Caenorhabditis elegans: one gene and its partners. The protein of the gene in region 1 purifies or fractionates together with the protein of each later gene. This does not show direct contact. Each region holds a gene or a part of one and is shown in the gene's direction. Other genes may lie near its edges.

What was found.
Region 2: the proteins of ndub-3 (region 1) and ndub-10 fractionate together in Caenorhabditis elegans (co-fractionation; one large-scale study listed by BioGRID). This does not show direct contact.
Region 3: the proteins of ndub-3 (region 1) and nuo-4 fractionate together in Caenorhabditis elegans (co-fractionation; one large-scale study listed by BioGRID). This does not show direct contact.
Region 4: the proteins of ndub-3 (region 1) and vdac-1 fractionate together in Caenorhabditis elegans (co-fractionation; one large-scale study listed by BioGRID). This does not show direct contact.

Annotation. Positions count from the first base shown.
Region 1 is NC_003280.10:8,963,703-8,966,758, reverse strand, and holds ndub-3 (NADH dehydrogenase [ubiquinone] 1 beta subcomplex subunit 3), read left to right. Parts: upstream 1-1,868; 5' UTR 1,869-1,869; coding exon 1,870-2,000; intron 2,001-2,052; coding exon 2,053-2,119; intron 2,120-2,302; coding exon 2,303-2,416; 3' UTR 2,417-2,517; downstream 2,518-3,056. Other genes in the region: sec-62 (Translocation protein SEC62), read right to left, coding at 105-170, 220-542, 587-706, 791-1,042, 1,088-1,200, 1,252-1,327, 1,376-1,499, 1,565-1,585; sftd-3 (Vesicle transport protein), read left to right, coding at 2,616-2,731, 2,778-2,876.
Region 2 is NC_003279.8:10,517,701-10,521,321, forward strand, and holds ndub-10 (NADH dehydrogenase [ubiquinone] 1 beta subcomplex subunit 10), read left to right. Parts: upstream 1-1,659; 5' UTR 1,660-1,660; coding exon 1,661-1,817; intron 1,818-2,205; coding exon 2,206-2,768; intron 2,769-2,850; coding exon 2,851-2,913; 3' UTR 2,914-3,061; downstream 3,062-3,621. Other genes in the region: nlp-4 (Transthyretin-like family protein), read right to left, coding at 8-152, 200-202; exos-3 (Exosome complex component RRP40), read left to right, coding at 681-844, 896-1,172, 1,222-1,461; UPF0598 protein F59C6.12, read left to right, coding at 3,171-3,229, 3,276-3,358, 3,401-3,462.
Region 3 is NC_003281.10:7,155,491-7,160,554, reverse strand, and holds nuo-4 (NADH dehydrogenase [ubiquinone] 1 alpha subcomplex subunit 10, mitochondrial), read left to right. Parts: upstream 1-1,745; 5' UTR 1,746-1,751; coding exon 1,752-2,123; intron 2,124-2,168; coding exon 2,169-2,397; intron 2,398-2,445; coding exon 2,446-2,570; intron 2,571-2,618; coding exon 2,619-2,762; intron 2,763-2,812; coding exon 2,813-2,919; intron 2,920-3,474; coding exon 3,475-3,696; intron 3,697-4,094; coding exon 4,095-4,206; 3' UTR 4,207-4,529; downstream 4,530-5,064. Other genes in the region: rnp-7 (U1 small nuclear ribonucleoprotein 70 kDa), read left to right, coding at 1-16, 811-1,144, 1,213-1,402.
Region 4 is NC_003282.8:7,505,921-7,509,646, reverse strand, and holds vdac-1 (putative voltage-dependent anion-selective channel), read left to right. Parts: upstream 1-1,755; 5' UTR 1,756-1,758; coding exon 1,759-1,822; intron 1,823-1,895; coding exon 1,896-2,036; intron 2,037-2,203; coding exon 2,204-2,373; intron 2,374-2,530; coding exon 2,531-2,788; intron 2,789-2,834; coding exon 2,835-3,053; 3' UTR 3,054-3,226; downstream 3,227-3,726. Other genes in the region: R05G6.5 (Uroporphyrinogen-III synthase), read right to left, coding at 172-210, 262-377, 429-508, 686-873, 921-1,064; Putative sodium-dependent excitatory amino acid transporter glt-6, read right to left, coding at 3,359-3,637, 3,682-3,726. UniProt on the Caenorhabditis elegans protein: Forms a channel through the cell membrane that allows diffusion of small hydrophilic molecules. Plays a role in maintaining mitochondrial morphology.

The DNA of each region.
Region 1 (3,056 bases):
ATGTGACGAAACCGACAGGATGAGGGTAATGCAATAGATTTTCAGGACAAGTTTTCATAAATGCAGAAATGTGGAATGGAAAAATTTCAGGATAAACTAAATTTCTAGACTTTAGCTGGACGACGTTTTCGAGGAGCATCGTCACTTGGTGATGGTGGAGCAGAGATTTCCTAAATTTCAAAATTATAATTATTTAAATTGAAACACTTATCAGATTACCTCGTCTTCAATTTTTTCATAATTATCATCAGTTGATGCCTGACTATTTTTTTCAGCATCATCGTCTTCTTCCTCTTTTTGCTCCTGTTCAGCAGCAATGTGGTCTTGCTCCTCCTCTTCTGCATCAGAATCCTTTTCTTTTTTCGACTTTTTATCTTTCTTATCTTTCTTAGCTTCTTTCTTCTCATCACCAACATACTCATAAGTATACCATGGTTGGAATGATTCAAGAACTCCACAGTCTTCAGTCAAGTTCGGCAGAACCCAGAGTTTGTGTTTTCCGAAAGTAACAGCGTAGATAATTCCGAAAAGAATAGTACGGACTGAAAATAATCGAAAAATGAATATTATTGTTGAAACAACTCACGTATAGCAGTGACAATGATAGCTGCAAAACATCCAATTCCAGTAATTGATACGTAATAAACTCCTTGGCGAAGCCATACAGGCCATAGAGGGAACAAGCATCCGACAATTGTACCGACGACTGAAATATATTAATTGGATTTTAATTTTACACATTGAATCATTTCTAAAGCAGGAAATAACAAATCAAAAAGGGAAAACTTACGCATAAGTACTCCAATAATCTTTTTCATGAGAGGAGTTGGATCGAATACCCAAACGTAGACATCTTTGTCATCGACGAATGCTTGAACTTCATGTACAAGAAGCTTCACCTTCTTTTTCTTTTTTTCTTCGTCTTTCTTTTCGTCTTTTTTCACTTCTTTCTCATCACCTTCAGCTTCGGTTGCTGTTTCTTCTTCTTTGGCTTTTTTATTTCTCTTTTCAACTACACCTTTTGGAGATTTGGTAACTTCAGCTGAAAAAAACGTGTTTTAAGATATTTTTTAAGTTTTATGATTACCAGAAGAATCGTTTCCTTTATCTTTATTCTCTTTTTTCTTTGCTACTAATTTTTTTGCACGGAAGAATAATTGTTTCGAGTTGAGTTCGCAAATATAATGGAAGCAATCATCTCTGAAAATTTAGAATCTATTTAAATTTACGTAATTTCTACAGAATGCCCACCTTGTTTTAAACATTGCATCTTTCTTTGCTTTATTTCCGTACTTGGATTCCCAAAGAGTATCGACAGCTTTATTTCCTGAAAATATATGCGATATTAATATAAACAATTGAAATTTGTACATACCACTGAAATAATGAACTTCGTTTCCTTCAAACATGGTCGTGGCTGTCGGACAATTGAATCTGATGTATTTGGCAATGTCTTCTTGCTCCTTCGTCATTTTTACGGCATCTTCCGTAGATACGCCCTGAAATTTGAATTAAAACATCGTTCTTTTCTAGTTAATATTGATTTTTCCGAATAAAAACTCACTTTTTGATTACGTTTCGACATGGTTAAAGTTTTCCTTTATTAAAAAAGCAGAAAAAATGTTGAGAATCTGAAAATACAGCCAAAACAAAAGTGGTGCGTTGGAACAAGCCAAAATCTCCTGACAATTGATTGAGAAAAGTGTGCCGCAGTTGCGCTCTGACGGAAAACGCAACTGCCGCACGCTTACACACCGCGTAAATCTACACAAACTCGGCTGGCATTTCTTTCTGATTTTATCGTTCTCTTCATTTATTTTCATAATACAGGTTTCTAAAACATTTTTTTTCAATTATTTTAATTCCAGAATGGGTGGAGGACATCACGAGCCGTTTAAGATCCCAAACTACTCAATCTACAGCAATTTTCGCGATTTTCCACAGTTGGCGCAGCATGAAAAACGACTCGCTCAAATCGGATTGAAGGATCCATGGATCAGGTCGGTTTTTTATCGATAATATTAATAAATATATTATTGATTTTTCTTTCAGAAACTACGTCTACTTGTACGATCGAAAGTATCCACACGTTGTTGGACAATGGGCTCATTTCAAGAAGGTTCGTGTTTTCTTCGAGATGAATTAAATATTATTAATATAATACCAACATAATATTAAAAAATTTTTATGGATTGTATCCTATAAATGTGCTCTTGTTTGGAAAATTTCCGAGCAAGCCGATTTTCCAAAAATTATATTAATGTATTTAGGGAATTTTTTAAAATTATTTAATAAATTTCAGTTGATTCTTCCTGGATGGAAAGCTGGAGTTGCATTCACAGCTGCCTTGATTTTCGTTGAAGAAGCTTACCAATACAAGACTCACGGAACCACCTCATGGGATGGTCATCATTAGAATTATCTGTTTCAAATCTCGAGCCGATTTCTTTTTTTTTAGTTTAAAAGTTTTCTTTTTGTGTATGTAGTTTCTTAAACTCCAATAAATCATTCATTTTTAAAATCGCAATTCACCCTCGTTGAAAATTGGTATTCTGCCAGAAAGGTTTCTATGATAACGATGTCAATAAATGTTTTACAACAACAATTTAAAGGGCATGTCTGCTCTAGAGCAGTTCATAAATGATCAGAAGAAGAAAGGAAGTGGTATCAGCAGTTCAGCTTCATTTTCTTCATTTGATTCACTTCGCAACAAGCTTCCAACGTCTATTGGGTAACAAATTTCACTTAGAAGAAATGTATAAAGTTTGAAGTTTCAGAGGATTTTCCCTACTTTCCCGAAGCGAAACAACCGATAGTCAGCAGTTATTAGTTGGAGATGATTCTGGAGATGGACAATTGCCAGCTTCCAGAAATCGGTATGTTTTGTTCAGAAAAACAAAAAAAAATAAACTGAAAATCTTGATTTCTTTGAATTAAATACTCCTAAGTAGGCAAATATCAATTAAATATTATATATTTCAATTTTTAACTGATGAGAAACGGATAAAATTGTTTTCGTTTTAATAGACTCAAAATGGTTTTGAATTACTTAAATT
Region 2 (3,621 bases), on another chromosome or scaffold:
CTCTTACACATTTGTGCTTCAGAAAAAATGTCCATTGGCATGTTGGCAGCAGGGACATCATCACACACAAGTTGTCCTTTGATATGCACGGAAAAATCTGTCTGCTTCACGGCCAGACACGTGGCAATAATACCGGAAAGAACAACAACTAGCTGAATGGGAAAACTTTAACTTCAAAAAACCTAACTATATTACATACCATTTACAAACCAGTTTGACCACTAAAAACTCAGTTGAACTGTATTTGAAACTAAATTTTTCTCGGTGTACGTGTCGATATTTATTTTAAAAAATTGCCACGCATTTATGTTTTCAGTGTTATTTTTCTTTTAGTCCTTGACAATTAATATTAATTGCAATTTCCAACATATCAAATAAAAATCAATGGGTACGGTATACAACACCGCAAACACCGTCACGTCAAGTCGCAGACTTTCAACAGCCGCTCCATTTTTATTTCTTATTTTTCTAGTTTTTCCGTTTATTTTGCGAAATATTATCACTTTTTGATTAATTTTATTGCAAAAATTTACAATTTTCAGTTAATATACTCATTGAAAACACTTTATTAACGTAGCTTATTACGTTATTCCTCCTGCGGTATTTAAATTTGGTTTTTCTATTCGCCACTACTTTTTAAAACGTTATTTTGTTCATCATTGAGTATTCAATTTTCAGAAATGACCGTATATCTCCCTGGCGACGTTATCAATGAACCTTCTTCAAGCGATTCCTCAATCATTGGCTACGGAATTAGTGTACGTGGCCAAACGAGAATTGCCACTCAACCTGGAGCTTTCCACAACGATGATGGAAAAGTCTGGTTAAATGTTCACAGCAAAAGGTAAGAATGATCACGAACAACATTTAAAATCACAATTTTTCTTAAATTCAGATATATACCACAGGAAGGAGACCGAGTAATCGCTATTGTCACTTCAAAAACTGGTGATTTCTTTCGTTTGGACATAGGAACTGCCGAATACGCCATGATCAACTTTACTAACTTCGAAGGTGCTACTAAAAGGAATAGGCCGAATCTAAAAACTGGAGATATTATTTATGCAACAGTTTTCGACACAACTCCAAGAACTGAAGCAGAGCTTACCTGTGTGGATGACGAGAAACGAGCACGTGGAATGGGACAGCTAAATGGAGGATTCATGTTCAAAGTTAGACACGAAATTTACTATTTATTGTAAAATTTAAAAATTATTATAGGTCTCCTTGAATCATTGTCGTCGACTAATCAACCCATCTTGCAAAATTCTTCAAACTGTTGGCAAGTTCTTCAAATTCGAAATCACTGTTGGAATGAACGGAAGAATCTGGATTAGTGCTTCGACTTCTGATGATATTATCAAGATTCACGATATTATCAATAAATCAGAGTTTATCACTGACGAAGATGAGCTTATCACCCTGGTTCAGAATAATTACACACGATCTGTCAGTGATTAAGAATCTTTATCTCAATTTTTAATTTTTCAGTGTAATTCCTGCTATTGTTGATTTTTTTTTCCTTTTGTTGTTGAACTTTTTAAAAATTTAATTTATCGTCTTGTTCTATGTAATATTTCAATTTTCAACGTTTCTTCGTTGTTTTAATATTTATTACTCAATATTCTCAATTCACAATGGAAAATTTTCGACATTCAGTATGGGTGAAGGCTTAGTGGAGCAACGTCAAGCTGACGATAAAGCATCTTGGGATGCTTACTGGAAAGTTCGTGATATCGATTCACGAGGATCCATCTACCCACGATTCCGTTATTATGCCCATAAGGCTTTCGACGCCCCAGCAACTTGGTTCAGAGGTAATTTTTAAAATTCTCAAGTTGGAGAATCATTTAAAGAAGAAGCAGCTTTGAAATTAGATTTAAAACCATTTACAAAATGTAAGAATTGACAGAAAACAAATTTCGTTCAAGTTTATTTACTTTCACCATTTGTTTTAATTCCAAGTAATTGATACTGTCTACGGTTTTATCCAGATTCAAAAAATTTGGGAACTTGTGGTGCAAGTAAAGGTTAATTTCTAATTCCCATATCATTGCTGTAAATTATAATTTTAAACTAGAAAAAAACCAAAGTTATTCGACTACCTCAAGCTGATGTACAGTTAGTAGTTGCAGTTCCACATAATAAATCAACTAGGCAAAACAATCCATTTTAATCTATTCTACTAACTCGTCAGCTTTTCAGAGACTATTGTGCAACCACTCAACAACAAGAACCGTCTACCCTACTATCACCGTCAACTTACACGTGTTCCGGAAATCGACGAATGCGGAGTGAACGACAAGGCCTGCTTCTACGAAGCCAATGAGCAGTACCGTCTTGATAAAATGGTCGATGGATTTATTCTGCAAACCCTCCGCCAACGTGTTGATCGGTGTATGCTTTACAACAATCCTGATCATTCACCATGTGCCAAGGTTATTGAGGATATGGAAGAGAATGAGTTGAATTTCTTCATGAAATACGGAGAGTTGGGAGGAGAATCCGATGTTCGTGATGCTTATATGAAGCAGAAGCATCGAATGATCTGGGAACGACGTCATCCAGAGATTATGGATGAGCGTGCAGCTAAGCTTGCTGATCATAAAGCACGACTTGCTAATGGAGAGTTTGACTATTCATTCTGGAAGAAGGGAATGTTCTATCAAGACAAGAAGAACTATGAGCCACCATATGAGTTCCAAATGAGCAAGTCAGCACTCGAGGGTGACAAGCCATTGTCCAAGGATTGGGAATACTACAAGAAGGTAAATATTCTTTCAAGATTTAATTTTAAAAAAGAAGCTACGAGAGAATCCTGGATCGAAAATTAAAATTTTATATTTTCAGGTCTCACAAGACCCAGAATTCGACAAGGATCAAGGAAAGAAGTCCGACTTCCGTCTCTTCTAATTCTACGCTGTCAATCTTTTCTTTTTCAATGAAATTTTTTAGAACGAATTGTGTTGAGTTTTCTTATTCCGTCGTAACAACTTTTTTTTCTTTTTCATGTTGCGTTCTTTTATTCCATTCAGAAAGTGAATAAATGTAGATTGTTTGATTGATTTATAAAGATTTGAATATGAATTTATGAGAAACGGAAATATTACCAGTCAGCTTTTCTTTTCAAATTAATTTAAATCAAAATTTAACTTTTTTAAGTTTCGGAAATGATACTGACATTTGCACGAAGTCTCTACACACAGGGGCAGTATAACGGAAAAATAAGGTTTTATTTTTAAATTAATTGTTTCTTTTTGAATTTGAGTTTTCAGAGAATATTTTTACTATGTGAGCCACAATGGTTTCCTATTTCTGGACGATTCGAGAATGAAGAATTTTACAGCGGCTTATAAAGGTTTATTTTACAGGAAAAACTGTTAACAAATCGAAATTTCAGATATTCAGTTTCTTAATTTCTTCTACAGAAAGATCAAGGAAAACAAGACGGGAAGATATGAGGTAAAACGCGAAATTTGCGATTTATCAACAAAAATACGGTAGCCGGTCTCGACACGACAATTTTTGTTGAATGAGAAAAGGTGTGCGCTTTTAAAGAGTACTGTAATTAAAAACTGTGATTTCTGCCGGATTTTTTTATTGATGTTTCCAATTCTTTCT
Region 3 (5,064 bases), on another chromosome or scaffold:
AAGGCTGAGATGCATAGTGGGTTGCAGTTTGTTTGTCATAAAACAAAAAATCATTGGCTGAACCTTTTGCTCAAAAAAACAACAGAAATTTTATTTTAAAAACCAATTTTCAAGGAACACGCTCCTATTTTTGTAATTTTTACAGCCACGCGGCCATTGTGAAATCCTGGGAAATGAATGGGAATGGCAGAGCGCGCAACTCTCCTATCGATTAATTTCTGATAGGTTTGTTTGTTGGTGAGCTCAAATAAAAAACAAGAAATTAAAAAAAAAAGGAATTAGCATTTTAAGAAACGAGTCTTTCCAAGAAAAAAAACATTATTTAAAATTGCACGCTTGCTAAAAAGGTTTTAGGCATATTATCGCATTTAAAAACTTTATTAATTTGTTAAGCTGAAAATTTCTGATATAAACTCTTTTTTTAGTACTAGGTCTTTGAATTTCATTTAGGCTACTAGATTAGGAAAAAATCCAAGAATTCAGATTTATTTTTTTATTTTTTGAATGGGTAAGGTACACGCTTTGTAAGTTTTCCTCACAAACATCAAAAAAATCATCTTGGGATTATTTTTGTAAGTTTCTTGCCGCTTTTTGTAAGTTTTCCCGTAAGTTTTGTCTGTAAGTTTGAAGTCTAACACATTTTCTGAATCGCGGGTAAGTGGTTGGGTAAGTAGTCAATTCCGCGAATGACATGGAGGCCTGTGAGCGCTTTTTTGGTAGGTTAGGTAAGATATTTATTGAGTAGACACACAAATCCGTATTCTCTCACCTTATTCCTTATTGAACATAATATTCGAGTATTATTTTCAGCCGCTTACAAAAAAGCTGACGGAATCAAAGTTGATGGTAAACGTCTAGTTGTCGACTATGAAAGAGGTCGTACTCAGAAGACATGGTTGCCTAGAAGACTTGGCGGTGGAAAAGGAGATACTCGTAAAACTCGCGAAGCTAAATCAGTCATTGAAGAACGTGAAATTGCGTCTGGATTTGGAGGTGGGTACGAGGATCGAGATAGAGAAAGAAGTGGTAGTCGGGATAGACGTCAAGATTCTTACCGTAATGGTGGAGGAAATGATCGTGATCGACGAGAATCATCGGGCGGATTTAGAGATAATCGCGGTGGAGGTGGCGGATTCGGTGGAGGGTTAGTTTTTATAAGATTTCGACATCTTATTTGTATTTTTCTTCACTTGTTTTAATTAATATTTTCAGAGGCCGTGATCGTTTCAATGATCGAAGTGGTGGTGGTGGATACGGAGGTGATCGTGATAGAGGAGGTGATAGAGGAGGTGACCGTGGAGGAAGCCGATACAGTACAGGTGGAGGATCCGGTGGTGGATATCGAAGCGGTGGTGGAAGTAGCGGAGGTGGTGGTGGAGGTCGATATGGTGATCGCCGTTGATTCTGAAACCAAAGGCCTTGTGGATTTTCCTCGCTTTTATGTTTGTTTTGTATCCTTCGATCTGAAATTTACCGATTTTTCCTTCTGCTTTCTATCTCGTCCTCTCAAATCATTTTGTATTCCTAAACACTTTTTCAAACCTGAACGGTATCTTCTAATTTATATTTTTAAGTTATTGACTTTTTTCTGCTCAGAAGTTCAACTATTCGAGGGCAGATTCTAATAAAGCTTCAATTGCAATATTTTCTGTAGAATAATTTATTTCTAATGGTTTTCAAACCTATTCTAATATTTTATTTTGTTCATTTTCCAATTTAATCTTATTATCTTGTTCCTTGTTAAGACCATCATGCCGGGTTCCATGAGCAAATTGGGAGGGCTGGCAACCGGTTTGCTGGCCTGCTCCAGATCAGGAGCACTCTCAAATCAAGTCAGAGGAGTTGTTCATAAAAGTCTTCTAAGACTTCCATCTGAACATCCAGAACCATGGGACTATAAGCACAATGGATTCAATTATATTGATGGATTAAAAGACGACACTCGTTCTCATTTCCATCAAAATTCCAAGCTTATCGTTGTTGAAGGAAATATTGGATCCGGAAAGACAACTTTAGCCAAACAACTTGCTGATCAACTCGGCTTCGTTCATTTCCCAGAATTTAGAATGGACGATATTCTCGTCGATCGCTACGGAAATGATCTTCGCAATTATTATAATAAAGTAAATAATAATTCAACCTAACTCTTAAATGTAATATTATTCCAGTTCCCAGCTCGTTACCGTCTTCCAGACATTTCCATGTTCTATAAGAATCCAAGTGGTGAACTCTCAGCTGCCATGCAAGATCGCATTTTCAACTGCCGTTTCGATCAATATCTCAACGCACTTGCTCATATTCTCAATACCGGTCAAGGAGTTGTGCTCGAACGTACTCCACATTCGGATTTCGTTTTTGCCAATGCAATGAGAGATAAGAATTATATTGGACATGAATGTACGTTTATTGTATTCATGAATTTTCTTTCAAAATAATTGTTTCTAGACTTCAAGCATTATTACTTTGTCCGTAAAAATGCTCTTCCTCAACTACATTTCTGGCCTCATTTGGTTGTTTATTTGAATACACCAACCAATAAATGCCTTGAAAATATCAAGAGACGAGGAAACGTAAGCTAGATTTCTCATAAAGATATTCAAAATTTTATTAATTTTCAGACAGACGAAATTGCAACAGTTGACGAGCGTTACTTAAAAACAATTGAGGAGTCTTACAAGGATTCACTTCGTGAATACCGTAATCACTCGAAGATTCTTGCCTATGACTGGACAAAACCAGGAGACACGGATGCTGTTGTTGAGGTAAGGAAAAGTTCGAAATTCTTAAAAGAAAAAAAACATAATTTTTAAAGGATATCGAACGACTTGACTTGGACTTCTTTGAATGGCACAGTGGTGATGTTATGGAAGAGTGGAATACAATTGTTGATTCAGTTGGATGGAATGGATGGAGACAATAGTGAGTTTTTTTTTTGAGAAATATATTCGAGATCATACATTTTCATTGATAAAACGAAACGATTAATTTATTGAAAATACCAACAAAAAAGCCATCAAAATTTTTAGGAAATTTAACATTCTAGGAATTGAAACTGGCCAAAACTTGTTTTTTTTTTATTTTTAAATTTTGCAAACATGGACAGAAAATGATTTCTGCGAAATTGTGTCCCCATCAAGGCAAAAGATTTTTGGTTTTTTTTGTGTTTTTAGCAAAAAAAATGTATTTCGCTTTATTCAAAAAAAAGAGCAAAAAAACACAATTTTTAATTTTGATATACTGAAAGACATAAATTAAAAACAAACAAGTATGTGTTTTTCAGTCAGCGACAGGGTAACAGAATTTTTCGGTTTTTTTTTTGAAAAAAAAATGCAAAAAATGGATTTTTGTAAAAACCACGAAAAAAACGATTTACGAATATCGTAAAAATCTACAGCCCTGATATAACATTGAGAAAGTATTTTAATTGAATTTTAAAAGTTTCATCCACATTGTATAATATATAATATCTTCTAGTGTCACCAATAAATACGATGCCCGTATGCTTGCATTCGATGGAATTCCAAAACACGAAGTTGGAGAGCTGTACACAAATCCACGTGATACTGGACACTTCCTTCACGTAATGCGTAAAGAGGTTCTCAAGTCACCATATGGCTATGGATATATTGCCAAGAATGGTGATCATCAAGCAGGACTCAATGCATGGCACACTGGACACCATCTTCCAGAACCATGGTAAGTTGTTTTCAATATTTGAAATTTAACTTGAAGGTGGAGTAGAGTCAATTTGAAAATTTGCTTTAAGTAATAGAAAATGAACCGAAAATACCGAAAACAAAAAAATTATAAATTTTTTCAATTTTCAAAAATGTTAAAAATTATTTTTGAATTACCACATAAATGAATCATGAATATATGATATTCGGACATTACGGTCTATTTTCTACCATTTGAAGCAAAAATTCGAATAGTCTCCACCTTTGAATTCTTATTTATGTTATTTGCATTTTAAAAAGTTCAAAAGCAACAGCATAAGATTTTTTTTAAAGCTGTACTTTTTAAAAATCCGTATAGCTAAACTTTCAATTTTATAAAAAATTCTTTTTTCGAATTAACATTTTTCTATTGTTCAGGTATGAATACTACTTCCGAGAGGCATACTATGATGATTTGACATCTCACGAGACATCGCTGGATTTGGATTCGGATTCATACGATCCGGATTATGTGCACCATCATCACTAAATCCATCTCTTATTCTCATCGCTCCAAGCTGTTTTTTTTCAGTAGATTTCGTAGATTTTTGTCGTCGTCGTCTTCGATTTTCTGTTTTCGATTTGATTCTTCAATCACAAATCGGTTCGCCTTTTATTATGTGTTAATTCTTTTTTGTATTCATATTTTTATTTTATAGTAAGTAGAGGAAGAATCGATCCGAGAGAAAATTTAATGCGAAAATAAAGGGTTTTTATATTTTTATTGTTTACTTGTATTTTTGTTCTTGGTTTTCTGAACTTTCCTTATTTACTTTTCACCTTTTTGAATGATAAATTACTAGAAATTTGGAATTCAAAAGCTTTTTCGATTCCTTGACTTGGCATAGAGCCAGCACACACCTCATAGAATACACCGGAACCCTGGAGACGCAGAGAAACGGCTAGAGACAATAAAAAGCAAAGAGTGTCCGGAGAAGTTTCTCTGTGCCTCGCGTGGGGTTCTTTTCAGTTTCTCTAGTGATATCTCGATTCACAATACTATCTCACTTTCACAAGACCAACGGGGATACCCCGTGGTCGACAAAGTGGGGGGAGTTGAGAGTGAAGAGACGCAGAAAAGATAGACAAACTGGAAGAAGATGAAGAAAAAGGACGATGTAGAAAAGAGGACTTGCTCTTTTTCAAGAGAAAAAGGACAGCTTCTCTATTCTCTCTATTACCCCACGCACACTTTTCAAATTATGCGTACTTTGGGTTTTATTCATATTATATTGCCACGTTTGGGTTTTACCGTACTACTGAAAATTTATTTTAATCTTTAGAGTCTCTCTAGTGCCGCGAGTGACTCGTGTCGAAAATGACGTCACTGCTGTGTGTGCTCTGTGTT
Region 4 (3,726 bases), on another chromosome or scaffold:
CAAAGCCGTTTTTATCACTACCTGTGTGTTATCTGATTACATGTAATATATGTTCTACTGCCCTTTCTTTCGCATAGTTTTGTAGTTAATTTTTAATGCATATTTTTAAAAAATTTATTGTTTTATTGGTTTATGGGTATTTACACTATATTATTTTTTAGAAACATAAACTTATTGGCGTAGTTGGTGTAGATAATCTGCGAGCCATTTCTGAAAGAGTCAAAAAAATCATGTTACTAAATGGTGTATTCGAAAACAAACAATTGGATTATCCGGTCTCTCAACTGCTACGCGAGCCAGTCCCTGGCTCAGTTTCGGCCATACTTCTACTGAGAGATAATCCTTGGCATGTTTCAGCATTGCTCTTTCGTCAATGTCTGAATATATTTTTATGGGAGAGTCAAAATTCTAACTTTATGGAATCTTACACTTGGGGAAAAAGAAAATTATATCGTGATAGGCGGCAATTGTCGTTTTTGAATAATATATTCCATCACTTGAACTCATTCTGAATTAAACGCTTGTGAAGTTTTAAAACTCTTCGGATAGATTTTTTGAAAAACCTCCAAAAGTGTGAAGGTTTCGTACCGAAACGAGACTACGGTAACGGTTATTTTCAACTGTGCGCAATGTTTTTCTTCCATTGTTTTTCAGTATTTTCGGATGTTTGTTGGTCTTTGCTCACCTCTTAGCGATCACATTGTGATATTTGGCCACTTCTTTCATCTCAATAAAAGCATTCGCTCGTTGACACAATAGTAACATGCATGGTCCGTCTATTAGCCTGTCTGATAAGTTCCAGATATCTTGGGATTCAAGATCAGCACTTTTCCACTCCATGACTTCTTCAGTTTTAAAATGCTTCACAGTTTTCTAAATAATCAGTTTCTTCTTCTTTAATTTTCATATATACAACTTACCTCTATAATCCCGAAGTTTTCTTTTGTTATGTGCTTCAGTACGGATTCATATTCATAGAAATAGTTCGGCAGAATAATTACAATTATTCTATCGACTAGGTTTGGATTTTCCAGTTGTGGCTTAGAGACTTCCGAGCGGTACATTTCGAATAGGTTAGATGCAAGTGACAGAAGTGAACTGAATTCGCTGAACCAGGTGATGCGGAAACTATTTGGATTTGTGCTCAATTTCCGGTACCATTTCCTGGTTTAACGCTAAATTTGAGATTTCTTGCTAATTTCATTTTGTTTCGTTAGTCAATATTTCTTTCATTGCATCAAATCTTTTCTTCTCAGTGCATCATTCAATTTTGAAAAACTGCCAAAATAATCCAGTACTTTTGGAAGCGGAGCGGTCGCGCTGCAGTAACCAGTCTCTGTGCCTCTCATTTTCGTCCTATGTCTCGAGACGGGCGGTCGCCGCGCCAATGTGCTTGCCTTTGAACTCTCAATTTGCTGTTGTGGCGTGATCTGTCCTTTCTCTATCGCATTCAATGTTTTCGATACCGTCGGAGTTTTATGTTACAAATGTTTGCTTCTGAATTTCCCGATAAGATAATTGTAAATCATTTAACTGAAACCCTGAATATATTTTTTGGCGATGTTGTGTTTTCTGGCGCATTGTTTATCGACTTCCTACTGCTGCCATTGAGTTGGTTTATCTCTTTCTTTCCGTTTTTCTCGTATGCACTGCTCAATGCAAACATTTTCAAAGCCTTCATTTTTCGAAAATTTCCTATTTTCCTTCTCTCGTGTAACTCTAGAATGCATGTTTCAAAAAATATTTTGTGTTTAGAAAATGGCCCCACCAACCTTCGCTGATCTTGGAAAGTCCGCCAAGGACCTCTTCAACAAAGGATACAGTAAGTTTCAATTTTATCTTTGTAGAGAGGAATAGTGTTAGGTCATTTATTCGCCTGATTAATTTTTTTCCAGACTTTGGATTCCTCAAGATCGACTCCACCACTAGAGCTGGAGACAACAAGGAGGTTGAGTTCAAATCAGCCGCTTCTCACAATATCGGATCCGGAAAGCTTGGAGGAAATCTCGATGTCAAGTACAAGATCCCACAATACGGTAAGCTCGTCTGAACATCTTATTGTCTACCCGCTAGATGGGGACAACCTCGTGACGCAGGTGATGCAATTGTATGTACTCTAAAACACCACGTGACGTCTAGCGACCGCTCAACAAAAATACAACATATTGTGTGAGAGATATCAATCATGTTGTTTCGTTTTCAGGAATCACTTTGACCGAGAAATGGAACACCGAGAACCAGCTCGGAACTGTTATCGAAGTTAATGAGCAATTCGGACGTGGACTCAAGGTCACTCTCGATTCTCTTTATGCCCCACACGCCGGAAAGAGAAGCGGAAAAGTGAAGCTCGACTGGGCTCTCCCAACTGCTAGAGTGAGTAGTCTTGTACATATTTTGGGTGATAAGATTGGCGAAGCTCGTCTCAAGCTTGACTGGAAGCATGATTGTTTCAGGGTTCGATTTTCTGAATGTAGAAATAGAGATTTCAAAAATCCATCTTTGTGAAATGAAACAAATTAGCCATTTACAGGTTACCGCTGATGTTGGAGTCACCTCTGCTCCAGTTATCAACGCTGCCGGAGTCTTCTCCCGTGACGGATGGCTCATCGGAGCTGCCGCCACCTTCGATTCTTCATCGAATAAGTTGGCAGCCACTTCTTTGGCTTTCGGACACTCCACTCCACAATACACCCTCCACTCTTTCGTTATTAACTCAACCGACTTCGGAGCTTCCCTTTACCACAAGGTTGCCTCCAACGTCGAGGTTGGAACTCAACTCGGATGGAAGGTAAACTTTTTAAAATCCTAGAACCAAAACTAAAGTGAATTTTCAGGTTGGTGGAAACGGAGCTGACTACGCTCTCGCCACCAAGTATGCTCCAAGCCGTGACCTTACTGTCCGCGCCAAGGTCAACAGCTCTTCCCAAGTTGCCGTTGCTGCCACACACTCCTTGTCTCCAGCTCTTAAGCTGACACTTTCCACTCAATTCAACCTTGCTGCCAATGATGCTCACAAGTTCGGACTTGGACTCGAATTCGATCCATCCAACTAGATCTTCCGATCACTTCCATTCTCCCATCAATAGCGTTCTTAAAATTCTTTTAGTCCTCAACCGTTGATTTTTCAATGTCGATTTATGTTCTCTAAACTTCGAAAAAAAAGAAATGTCATGCGCTATTTACTTTTCTGCTAAATTTTACAAACATAAATTATTGAGTTTCATCAGTGGCTTAAAATAGTAAAAATGATATGTACAAAACAATCCATGGGTTCTCGCGGAAAGAGGAGAGAATAACCGTTTTCTGTTTTGGAATGGAAAAGTGACATGGACAAAAAATGTAAATATTGATCATGGAACTACACGTTTTCATCGTTGGGCAGAGGTGTGTATGGTGGTTCAATGTTATTATTACGCCAGGAAAGATGCAAGTTGGTGGATGAAGGACGACGAGAGCCAATTCGTGATCCAATTCTTGAGTTTCCAGCTGTGTTCGCGTGTGTCAAGAAGAGCTCCTTAGAAGCTTCTGACATTGTGAATGATGGTCTTCTACTGGTGGCAGCTGACTTCAATAGTTCAATTTCTCCTTTCAGTTCAGTCTTATAATCGTGACGAGCGTCTGCTTGATCCAGCTTTTTCTTAAAATATACAATTGTCTCCAAGTTCGAGTTTTCTATCAAACCTGCAATAAATGCTGAACCATTGAAGCAGCAAACGCATCCCCTAG